2 linked regions of the Nothobranchius furzeri genome follow. The protein of the gene in region 2 purifies or fractionates together with the protein of the main gene of each other region. This does not show direct contact. Links are inferred from orthologs where the notes say so. Each region holds a gene or a part of one and is shown on either strand. Other genes may lie near its edges.

What was found. The genes of interacting proteins can lie anywhere in the genome.
Region 1: the proteins of c17h9orf78 (region 2) and eftud2 purify together in Homo sapiens (affinity purification with mass spectrometry; 3 studies listed by BioGRID and IntAct, with this or other methods). This does not show direct contact. The link is inferred for Nothobranchius furzeri from reciprocal best matches to the Homo sapiens genes C9orf78 and EFTUD2.

Annotation. Positions count from the first base shown.
Region 1 is NC_091745.1:13,646,674-13,651,999, reverse strand, and holds the start of eftud2 (116 kDa U5 small nuclear ribonucleoprotein component), read left to right. Parts: upstream 1-1,796; 5' UTR 1,797-1,934; intron 1,935-2,333; 5' UTR 2,334-2,344; coding exon 2,345-2,449; intron 2,450-2,532; coding exon 2,533-2,698; intron 2,699-5,326. UniProt on the Homo sapiens protein: Required for pre-mRNA splicing as component of the spliceosome, including pre-catalytic, catalytic and post-catalytic spliceosomal complexes. Component of the U5 snRNP and the U4/U6-U5 tri-snRNP complex, a building block of the spliceosome.
Region 2 is NC_091757.1:40,165,733-40,171,190, reverse strand, and holds c17h9orf78 (splicing factor C9orf78 homolog), read left to right. Parts: upstream 1-2,541; 5' UTR 2,542-2,640; coding exon 2,641-2,720; intron 2,721-2,876; coding exon 2,877-2,936; intron 2,937-3,075; coding exon 3,076-3,127; intron 3,128-3,214; coding exon 3,215-3,285; intron 3,286-3,403; coding exon 3,404-3,481; intron 3,482-4,296; coding exon 4,297-4,494; intron 4,495-4,569; coding exon 4,570-4,706; intron 4,707-4,780; coding exon 4,781-4,885; intron 4,886-4,989; coding exon 4,990-5,087; 3' UTR 5,088-5,426; downstream 5,427-5,458. Other genes in the region: NFU1 iron-sulfur cluster scaffold homolog, mitochondrial, read right to left, coding at 1,390-1,525, 1,721-1,821, 2,414-2,472. UniProt on the Homo sapiens protein: Plays a role in pre-mRNA splicing by promoting usage of the upstream 3'-splice site at alternative NAGNAG splice sites; these are sites featuring alternative acceptor motifs separated by only a few nucleotides. May also modulate exon inclusion events.

The DNA.
Region 1 (5,326 bases), on a different chromosome or scaffold from region 2:
CTTGAAAATCGGTGGCAGAAGGACCTCAAGTAAAAAAATAATCCCTGAAGAAGTTCAGAAAACAAATCAGCTGAACAAGACAGATGGAGGGTTTCTAGGAAACATGACCCCTTAGAATAAAACTCTGAAGATGTTTTAAAAGCGTTTGCACCGAATCTATGAAGATATGCTACTTGATTGTAATGATTTTAGCTCATAGAAAATTATTCGCTTATTGCTACAAGTTCTGTAGTCATTTTGTCCAAATTCTCAAATCATAGATGTTTAGTGCCACCTTGCAGTTATTTCTTGCAACAACACATTTGAAATGTTTGGCCTGGGCTCTGCGGTATCTTAGCTGTTCCCAGATCTGCACTTTTCTGGACTGAGATGTCTGATGTTTTTCCTGGGATCTGCCTAAGCTACTCCTCCAGTCTGGGGCTTACTTCCACAAGTGTTCCGATGACCACGGGCACCACCGATGTCTTCACTCTCCAGACTTTCTCAGGTTCTTCTTTGAGGCGCTGGCACTTCTCTAGTTTGTCGTGTTCCTTTTTCCTGATGTTGCATCACTTGGTATTGCCACAATAACCACAACGGCTGTCCTCTGTTGATTGTCCACCACCGCAATGTCTGGTTGGTTCTCCATCACCATTTTGTCAGTCTAGATCTGGAAGTCCCACAGGAGCTTGGCTCTTTTGCTCTCAACCACCTTAGGGGGTGTTACCCACTTTGACCTTGGGGCTTCCAGTCCATACTCTGCCCAGATGTGTCTGTACACAATTCCAGCCACTTGGTTGTGGCGTTCCATCTTTGTTTTCCCTGCCAGCATCTCACGCCCTGCAGTTATGTAGTGAATTGTCTCAGAAGCCTCTTTGCATAGCCTACACCTTGGGTCTTGCCTGGTGTGGTAGATCTTGGCCTTTGTTGCTCTGATGTTCAGGGCCTGTTCCTGTGCAGCCACGATGAGTGTCTGCTGTCCTTCAGACCAGCTCTTTCTAGTCGTAGGATTTCTTGATATCTGCCACTTCGGTTATCTGTCGGTGGTACATCCCATGTGTGTTTGTCCTCCCGCGATGGTATTTCTGGTGTCTCCTCCTCTTTTTGCCATTATCTGAGACATTCACTGGCCACATCATCCGTTGGGGCCTTATCCTTGATGTGCTTATGCATCATGGATGTTTCATCTTGTACACACACAAACACTTGTCTGTCTTCCTTTCATAGTGAAGACCCTCCATTGACTTCCATTCATTTTTGTGACTCCAGTATGCCTAACCCATACCCTAACCCTAACCAATACTGATCTATTCCTAACCCTAACCGTAACCTTAACTAAAACTTAATTCCGACCATACCTCTAAAACCAACTGGTAAGCTTCTAAAAAGGTGAGGACCAAAAAAATGTTGTCACTTTGAAAAATGTCCTCACATTGTAGGGAAAATGGTCCTCACTATGTAGTATGTACAAGAACACACACACACACACACACACACACACACACACACACACACACACACACACACACACACACACACACACATTTAATTTTTTACTTTGCTGTTTCACATCTTAGCCACTGGAGGGCAGAAACTACTCTGTTACAACTTTCAAGAACCAACGTCTTTATTTATTATTTGTTTTGTTTATTTATTTGCCAGGCTAAGATGAAAACTACTCGGGATTTTTATTTTGTTTTAAAGTTCTATTCAAAATAGCAATAACGAAGCCCGGGGATGAGCGTTTTATGGTCTTTAAGCTTGTTGCAGTGATTTGTTTGTTCAACAGGTGGAGACGGTGGAGACTGACGTTGAAATTAAACAGTAGAAGAAGAAAACCGGCAGTGACGTATTGTGCGCATGGAGCTTAATGAATGATTTTGTCTCCTTTCAAAACCAGCTTTTTATCGTTTTGGAACAAACATTTCATTTGCCAAATTTGCAGTAGATTACAAGTAAGTATATTTAGTTTATATTTAGTTACATATGAGTTACAGCTTTGTTCTGGAGTTTGATATTAGCTGAAGGATCAGTAACGTAGCTCCGACGTCACTGCGGTCCGTTTATTTTGTCGCTTGTTAGCCTGCTAGCATGCTAAAGTGTGGCTGGATTATGTGATCAAAACGAGATACCTCGGATTAAGCTCTTTGGATAGTTTGCTATAAGGTACATAAAACGTACAGAATGCAGTTGAAAAACGCCGCATTTGCATTATGAAGTATTGGCATTAGCTGCAATAACAGATGTCAGACTGTCTCTCACTTCTCCCCTGCTTCTCAGTTGTTATGTTAAAATAACCACAACGTGTATTACTCGTAAAAATCCGATCTCATCTCATCTAATCTGATCATCAGCCCTTTAGAAGATGGAGGCAGATTTGTATGACGAGTTTGGCAACTACATCGGTCCAGAGCTGGACTCTGACGATGATGACGATGAACTGGATGCAGAAGACAGAGATGTTGATGAGGTACTTTATACACTTGTACACACTTTGTAGTACTTGTATGTTTAGGGGTTTGTGCTCATCTGTCATGTACTCGCATTGGACAGGGAGATGATGATGATGATGATGATGAGCATGGAGATGCTGATGAGGATGTCCCCGGCATGGAGGTGGTCCTGCATGAGGACAAGAAGTACTACCCCACAGCAGAGGAGGTTTATGGCCCAGAAGTGGAAACTATTGTCCAGGAAGAAGACACGCAGCCTCTCACAGGTTAGTGACCTCCTTCCACATGCTGATTTACAGTCGTGTGCAGTTGGCTTGAATGTGAGGTACATTTATGTCAAATATTGGGAAAAATGTACATACTTTCCATCAATGTTATTTAAAAATGAACAATTTTAGCACATTTACATGTGAGGCAGCTCAATCTGAGCTGAGTGGGGTAGTTGAGATCCCACACCCACTACAGACCGACAGGCTGATTAAAGTTCATGCATGCCTGCTAGTGGGAGCCTGATTGGCACGGGTACAATCTGCCAGTGGCATCTTAGTGAATGCGTGTTTCACTATGGATGCAGTGGGTAAACATCTACGCTGACTGCTGTTCGGACCGGCCTTGAGAGCGAGATGACTGAGGAGGAGCTTCATGCCAGAGTATTCAAAAGCAACACTGCTCATGCCAACTTTTGTTTACTAGTGACGCCTAAAGCTGGATTTATACTTCTTCATCTATGTCGGTACGGAGACACGCAACGCCTTTATGCGTCAGTGCAAGGGTTCTCCGACAGGCTCACAGAGGGTGACGGAGACACGCCCAAAATTTTAAACATCCGTCGAAAGTGATGGAGACCGCCAGCTTGTGATTGGTCAGGACGTCACTTCCTGTAAATTTGTCAACAACTCCGTTAAAGAGTAAAAAGATATTTAACGGCAGACCCACTGGTTAAAAAGCTATGTAGGGAACAGGAAACAATATGTACAAGTAAATGAATACATATCTGATTTGATGGATATAGCTTGTGGAGTACCTCAAGGTTCAGTACTGGGACCAAAATTGTTTATTATGTACTTAAATGATATCTGCAGAGTATCACAAATTTTAAAGTTTGTAATATTTGCTGATGACTCAAATTTACTGTGTTCAGTTGTGGAATTGCCACAGGTCTTGGAGTTGATCACACAGGAATTAATGGTATTGAAAAAGTGGTTTGATATAAATAAATTATCATTGAATCTAGATAAAACCAGATTTATGTTATTTGGTCACCAAAAGAATTACATCAAAATTGACATTTGTGTGGATAATGTATATTTAGAAAGAGTTAATGAAATAAAATTTCTTGGTGTGATCATTGACCGTAAGCTCTGTTGGAAGCCACACATCACTTATGTTCAGGGGAGATTGGCACGGGTCGTTGCCATCCTGGGGAAAGCAAAGAAGATGTTGGATCAGAAAGCGTGGCACATATTATACTGAGCTTTACTTCTGCCATACATGAGTTACTGTGTAGAGGTCTGGGGAAACGCATACAAAAGCAACATACAGACGATAACTATAATACAGAAAAAGGCCATTAGAATAATAAATAATGTGGGGTACAGGGACCATACGAATGCACTCTTTGTCGAAATGCAAACTATTAAATTACAAGACTTGGTGAAGCTCAAAACAGCGCAAGTAATGCATAAAGTAAAATAAATTGCTTCCAAAAGAAATCTGTTTATTGTTCAAAGAAAGAGAAGGTGGGTATAACTTTCTTCTTTCTTCTTCTTTAGGTCTTAATTTCGGTTTATAGCATTAACATAAAATTTTTCTTTTCAAACCAAACAACAATATTAACAACTTGAATTTAAACCAAAAAAGGAATAGGCAGAAGCAATGCTTATTTTAGCCTACCCTATTTTCCACCTAAGATACATAACCAATATACATTTCTTTTATTTTCCCCAATATAAATAACCACAATGAAAATTCATTAATGTCTATACATACTTTTCATACCCTGTAAGTATGTGACACTTCACACCTGCTTTAAACTTTAGTAAGGAAGTACATTTCTTCAAATCATCATCTAACTCATTCCACAATTTCACACCAACAACGGAAACATCTTGATTTCACATTAGTTCTGGCTTTTACACATTCAAACATAAATACACCTCTGAGATTATAATGATCATCTCTTGGTTTGAAATAAACTTTTATGCAATTTGGGATATTATTATTAACTACTTTATGAAGAATCTCTAAGATTTTTACTTTAATAATATCTCCTAATTTTAGCGTTTTAGTTTGACTAAATAGATTATGGGTTGGTTCGAGGTATCCCGATTTATTAGCTATTCTAATCGCCTTTTTTTGTAATTTAAATACAGTCTCAACACACGTTTTACCTGCATTTCCCCAAACCTCTGCACACTAAGACAAATAAGGCATAACTAAAGAGGAATAAATCAAAAACAAGGCTTTTTTTATTTAGTACATCACTAGTTTTATTAAGTATAGCAATAGATTTAGACACTTGCTGTTTGATATATTCAATATGTGGTCTCCAACTGAGTTTACTATCAATAATCACACCTAAGAATTTAGTTTCATATACTTGTTCAATTGGGACTCCATTTAAATACAGCTTAGCACCGTCATTGTCCCTGTTCCCTGAAAATATCATAAATTTGGTTTTATTTTCATTTAGTGATAGCTTGTTGTAATCAAACCATTTTTTCATTGAACCCAATTCGTTTTCAACCTCTTGTAATACTTTACTCATATCTTTACCGATACAAGAGGGAACTTAAGAGGGAAACGGAATTTAAAAATACAAAGTGCTAGAACAACTTTAAAAACTGTCAATCGCAGTCGCAGGAGTTAAATTATGGAACAGTCTAACAGAAGAG
Region 2 (5,458 bases):
TATTGTGATACGTATCATATAGCCAGAATTTCACCACTACACATCCCTACTGTTGATACCACTTTACATTTCTGTTCCCCCTAAAAGACTACTTATTATGCTTATTACAAATATACAAATGCCAAAAGAGGGACTTAAAGTAGTATCATATAGATTGAGTTAATTTTAAATGGCTTGTTCATATGTTTAGGAATGCAAAATATATAAATAGTGAGACTCGGTCCTGCTGTTATCTTACAAATCAATGGTGACAGACTTTACACTTTAAACTGGGGCTCCCTTTGACATTTGTGGATATTTCATAATACAGTTATAAAATATAATAATATTTGCTAAAAGTATGTTTACAAATGCCCATTTAGCTAACAAGGCAGCAACTTAGTTTGAAATGTTTAAAATGGCAACTGTAGACAAAACATACAAGTGATTATATTTGGCTCACCATTTAGCAATTTTTGTCTCTTTCTTGCCCCCAATGACGATAAACACTTATAAAGAGTTACAGATGAATTAATTTCAACATATTTATTAACATTTACCAATCATTTATAAGGGGTGCCTTATTGTAAAGTGGTACCAACAATTATTTGGGGTTAGTTTGGAAAAATCCACCATTTCAAAGAAATAAGAAAACAAAGTACCGAAAAACTAATACCTGACTCTTAATTAGAGCTTGGTTTCAAAACTTGGTGCCTCTTCAGTCCGAAAATACTTAGTAGGTATTGGTATATTTTTGGTGCTAGACGTTGTGGTTTTGGCTTGGTTCAAAGTTAGCAGCCCTCTGCGGGCCCCTGGTGGCCCTATGCAATGCATGCCCTGCTTATTAACACACAATGCATCTATTTGAGCCGAAGTATGCACTGTCTTTAATCGTGAAAAAATAAAATAAAATAAATAAAAGCTGACCCGAGTCTACAACCTTTGTCCTCTGCTGCATCAACAGCAACAAGAAAAATAGCCAGGTCTCATGTTTACAGTGTACATAGTTTATCTCTTATTTACATTGTATGTTTATTCATTTTGTATTTATTTTGGGATCTAAATATTTTTATTTCATGTTTTTAGAGAAGATGTTTCATATGTCTTGCACCAAAGAATATATAATAGTTGCACTTTATTTTCATACTGTTAACCTTTGCTTTGTACTAAAAGCTAAATACTACCTTTTCCTATTTATAAACTGTATATATATATAAACTATTACATTTTTAAGATGACAGTAAAAAATGTTGCTTCCACCATTTAGACAAGCCTCTCTCAGTTAAGTGGATACAATATGCATATATTGGCAAACATACAACAAGGTACCCCCTGGTACAGAGTTTGCTCAGAGTAAGGAAACAACTTGATATGTTAATATGAGATTAGTAATCTTGTATTAGGAAATACCTGGCTAAAGGTGAGCAGTAAGCATCACGAGGGCCTGCAAAATTCATGGTTCCCTCTTCGAGAACTGTCCGCCCAGGCAAAAACTTTAGACTGTTTGGATTTGGAGTATCCTGTGTCTGCACAAACATGGACCTTCCTGTAACATAAAAAATGTAATGCAAATTTTTAAAAAGGGCTACAAGAGAATTGTGGTCATTTTCTGCATGTGCAGAATGCCCGATTTTCTCACAACACCTAAGCATCTGACATCACTGTGGAAAACGTGACAATAAAAGACAATCACTCTTATTTAATAAAAAGTCACACTAGAGGTTGCAGCAAATAAACAAACCAGGAACAGTCCAGAAGGGGTTTTGTGGCCATCTGTTTGAAACTCCAGTAGCTTGCGAGGGCCAGTGGAATCCATTGCTCTGACATCCACTGCCAACAAGACTGAAAATAATGAACAGATAAACAGTAATATAAAAAAAACATTCTTTATTATAAAAAATATTATGCTGTTGTGTGTAGGGACGATTTCTTTACCGTCACTAAAATGTGGCAATAATAAGACGGGTAAACTCCTGTTTAGAAGATGTGCGAACAAGCTCCTACACTGAACAGGAACACCAAATCAAATACAAATGCTATAACTAAGGAAAGCAAAACATTAATAAAAAGGCAATGGCGCGATGACAGAGTTGTTTCAGCACGCTTTAAAAACGCGTTCTGCACATTTGTTCTGGTGATTTGTATTTTTTCCCCTACTAAATAAAAATGATCAAAAAGATGGATGCAAGATAAAAATTTATTACATTTATGCAGGTTTGTTTAGTGTTAATTTTACTTTAAGGGCATTTTTGATGGGAAAAAACATCGTAATGAAACATTCCTCGTTTCCAGACCTAATGTTTAGTCTGCGTCATTCCACACTAAACCAACAAGCTTAAACACAGTCGCATAGAAATGACTCACATGTTGCAAAAAGTAAAAGAAAAAAAATTAAACACAATAGAAGGTAAAATCCTGCAAAATATCCACTTACGGTCGTGAAAGTCTAGCAGAAATCCCCAACAACCCGCTAACGTGTTTATAAGCCGCCATGATTGTTATGGTTGTGATCCTTCAAGAAGAACGGAAGTAGATTATACTTTTCCGGAAGTGACGAATATTTTTGTACGTCTGTTAAAGTTTCCCCCCGAAATTATCAGCGTCAAGCTTACGCGCAGTAAGGCGCTGCTTCTTCAAATATTTACGTTAAACTATCTAAATATGCCTTGTGGTAGGCATTTTAGAAGAAGACAAGATTCGTCGGATGATGAAGAGGAGGATGAAACAACAGAAGAAGTCAGGTAAAATACTCGAACAACGAGTTGTTAAGATATATGTTGTGTTAGCAAACTAGCCGCTAACCCAAAATTAAAGTAACAGAACGCCATTGTTGTTAGTTGTATTTTAATAAGCTGCCTACCTAAATATGTTTGTGCTTTTGTATTTTTTTTTCTTAGATCAAAAGTAGAAGAGGCTAAAGAACTTCAGAGTTTGAGGAAACGACAGAGCGGAGTCAGGTAACATGTTAATATGAATGTAGAATGGAAGACATCTTTATTATGTAGCACGTTTCACACAGAAGCAATTAGTTGTGCTTAATGTCAATACTTAACTGCTTGGATGTGAATTAACTTACACCTTTTACTTTTTGTCTAGTGTGACAGCTTTATTGGTGGGAGAGAAACTGCCTCCAGAAGTCGAAATTGATGTAAGTTTTCTTTGGAAAAAAAAATGTGTGTGTGTGTTGAATAGCAACATGTTGAACGTTTACTTTTTTATTGATCACTTCTGACAGAATGATCCTTTCAAACTGAAGACGGGAGGAGTTGTAGACATGAAGAAAGTGAAAGACAGGAATAGAGACATGTGAGTCAAGTTTTCCACCCTCAGGTGCAACATAGATACCTGCCTGAATGCTTTGTACAATTAAACCAAATCCAGTTAATCGGATATGACTGACTCATCCAGGATGATTCATTAACAGGACAGAAGATGAAACCGACCTCAGCCTGGGCACTTCATTCTCCGCCGAGACCAACAGAAGGGATGAAGATGCAGACATGTGAGCTTTTCTTTAAACTGTATTATAATCATTTCCTCTTCAGACTCAACATTGTCCAACCTCTATTTAAATTGTGCTCTGTTTTTTTCCTCTCTAACGGAAATTTCTGACTTTTGAGATAATTTTTCTCATGTCAAGAAATTCAATAATAAAAAAATTAAGAGGTGTGTGTAGGTCGTCAACATTCATGTCCCTTTAAGAAGCTGTACCACCCTGAGCCAAAATGTGACTCAACCTAACACATGTGACAGCCCCATCTAGGCCATATCGCCCAGCCCTAAAAGGAAGGTGTTCAGTTGATTTCCTCCGTCTGGCAAAAAATATTCCATCATACATAATAAAGTTGAATTTCCACAAAGAAAACAAATTAAAAACAAGTTTGGTCCAACAATGGCTGCCCTGGACAAGAAATAACACTGGTGTTTACCTGGGTTTTCATCTCTTTAAACAACTAAAATAGTGTCAGTATTTGTCAGAAATCAAATTTTGCTCAACAAAACAATTTATGCACCAACCCCTGAATTAACCAGCTGTTAATGTTGACTGTAAAATCAGTCAAACTACAAAGACTGCTTTTGTCTGAGATGAAATGGTGTTGGAACTTTTGTTAGCATGTTACTGGCTGGCTTCATTCAGCATTTTAAGAAAAGGCTTTTTATTCTACTAAAGAAAGTTGGAAAAGCAATCTCAATTCTTGAATTACATGAACTTTGTTACTAAATATTTAAGTATCTACAAGTTAGTATTCAAAATCTTAACGTAGCTGCCATCCAGTTGTTCGTGTGGGACATTTCCCATTGTGTTTTTCTTTACAGGATGAAATATATTGAGACAGAGTTAAAAAAGAAGAAAGGCCTGGTGGAGGCTGAGGAACAGAAAATTAAGGTGAAAAATGCAGAGGACCACCTGTACGAACTTCCTGAGAACATCCGAGTGAACTCTGCCAAGAAGACAGAGGAGATGTTGTCCAATCAGATGCTGAGTGGGATCCCGGAGGTTGACCTTGGCATTGAGTAAATTCAGAAGATTCTTTAATAATTCAGCTCTTTTTATTTTACTCAAATTAATCCCTGTCGTTTCATTCTCAGTGCAAAGATTAAAAACATTATCCAGACAGAAGAGGCAAAAGCCAAACTTCTGGCAGAGCAAAGGAACAAGAAGAAAGACCTCGGGACGTCGTTTGTTCCCACGAATATTGCTGTTAATTATGTCCAACATAACCGCTGTGAGTTCAGGCTGTCTGCATCCGTTCCAGCTAGAGGAGAAAAGTTTGTTAATCATGCTTTTGTTTTCTTTTAGTCTACCATGAGGATGCAAATGCACCACAAAGGCACAACAGACACAGAGAAGAGCCCAAAGCAAGACCGCTGCGAGTGGGCGACACAGAGAAGCCAGGCCCAGAGGGTACGAGACACGACCACACAGTCACAGATACAAACCAAAAACACTTTTTGGTTCCTTTTTTCCAGAAACCAAAACCTGTACTCGTTTCTTTTGTCTGTCCGTAGCTCCGTCGCCACCGAACCCACGCAAACGTCCAAACAACGAGAAGGCCACGGATGACTACCACTACGAGAAGTTTAAGAAGATGAACCGAAGATATTAAAAAGTTGCATCTGTTTCCTCCACACAATGGCATCTGAAAATGTGAGCCGTTGCTAATTATTATTGAAAACATTTGTTGACCAAAATGTTGAAGCTCCAGATTTGTGTGATTTCCTGTTTGGTTTTTCAAACAAGTCAGCAGCTTTAGCTTCACTCTAAGTCTACAGTATTTTAGAGCTGGCTGTTCAATTATTAAGTGTGTAAAAATATATCTCGGTTTGTTTTTTTAAAACAAGAACCATACTAAAGTTTAAAAGTGATGCACTTAGCTAATGAGATGGAATAACTAGAGCAGCTGCTTGAAAATGAGACGTTAAGCAATAAAAAACCCAAAGCTGAACTGTTGGCTGCCATGTTTATCTTAAAAATAAA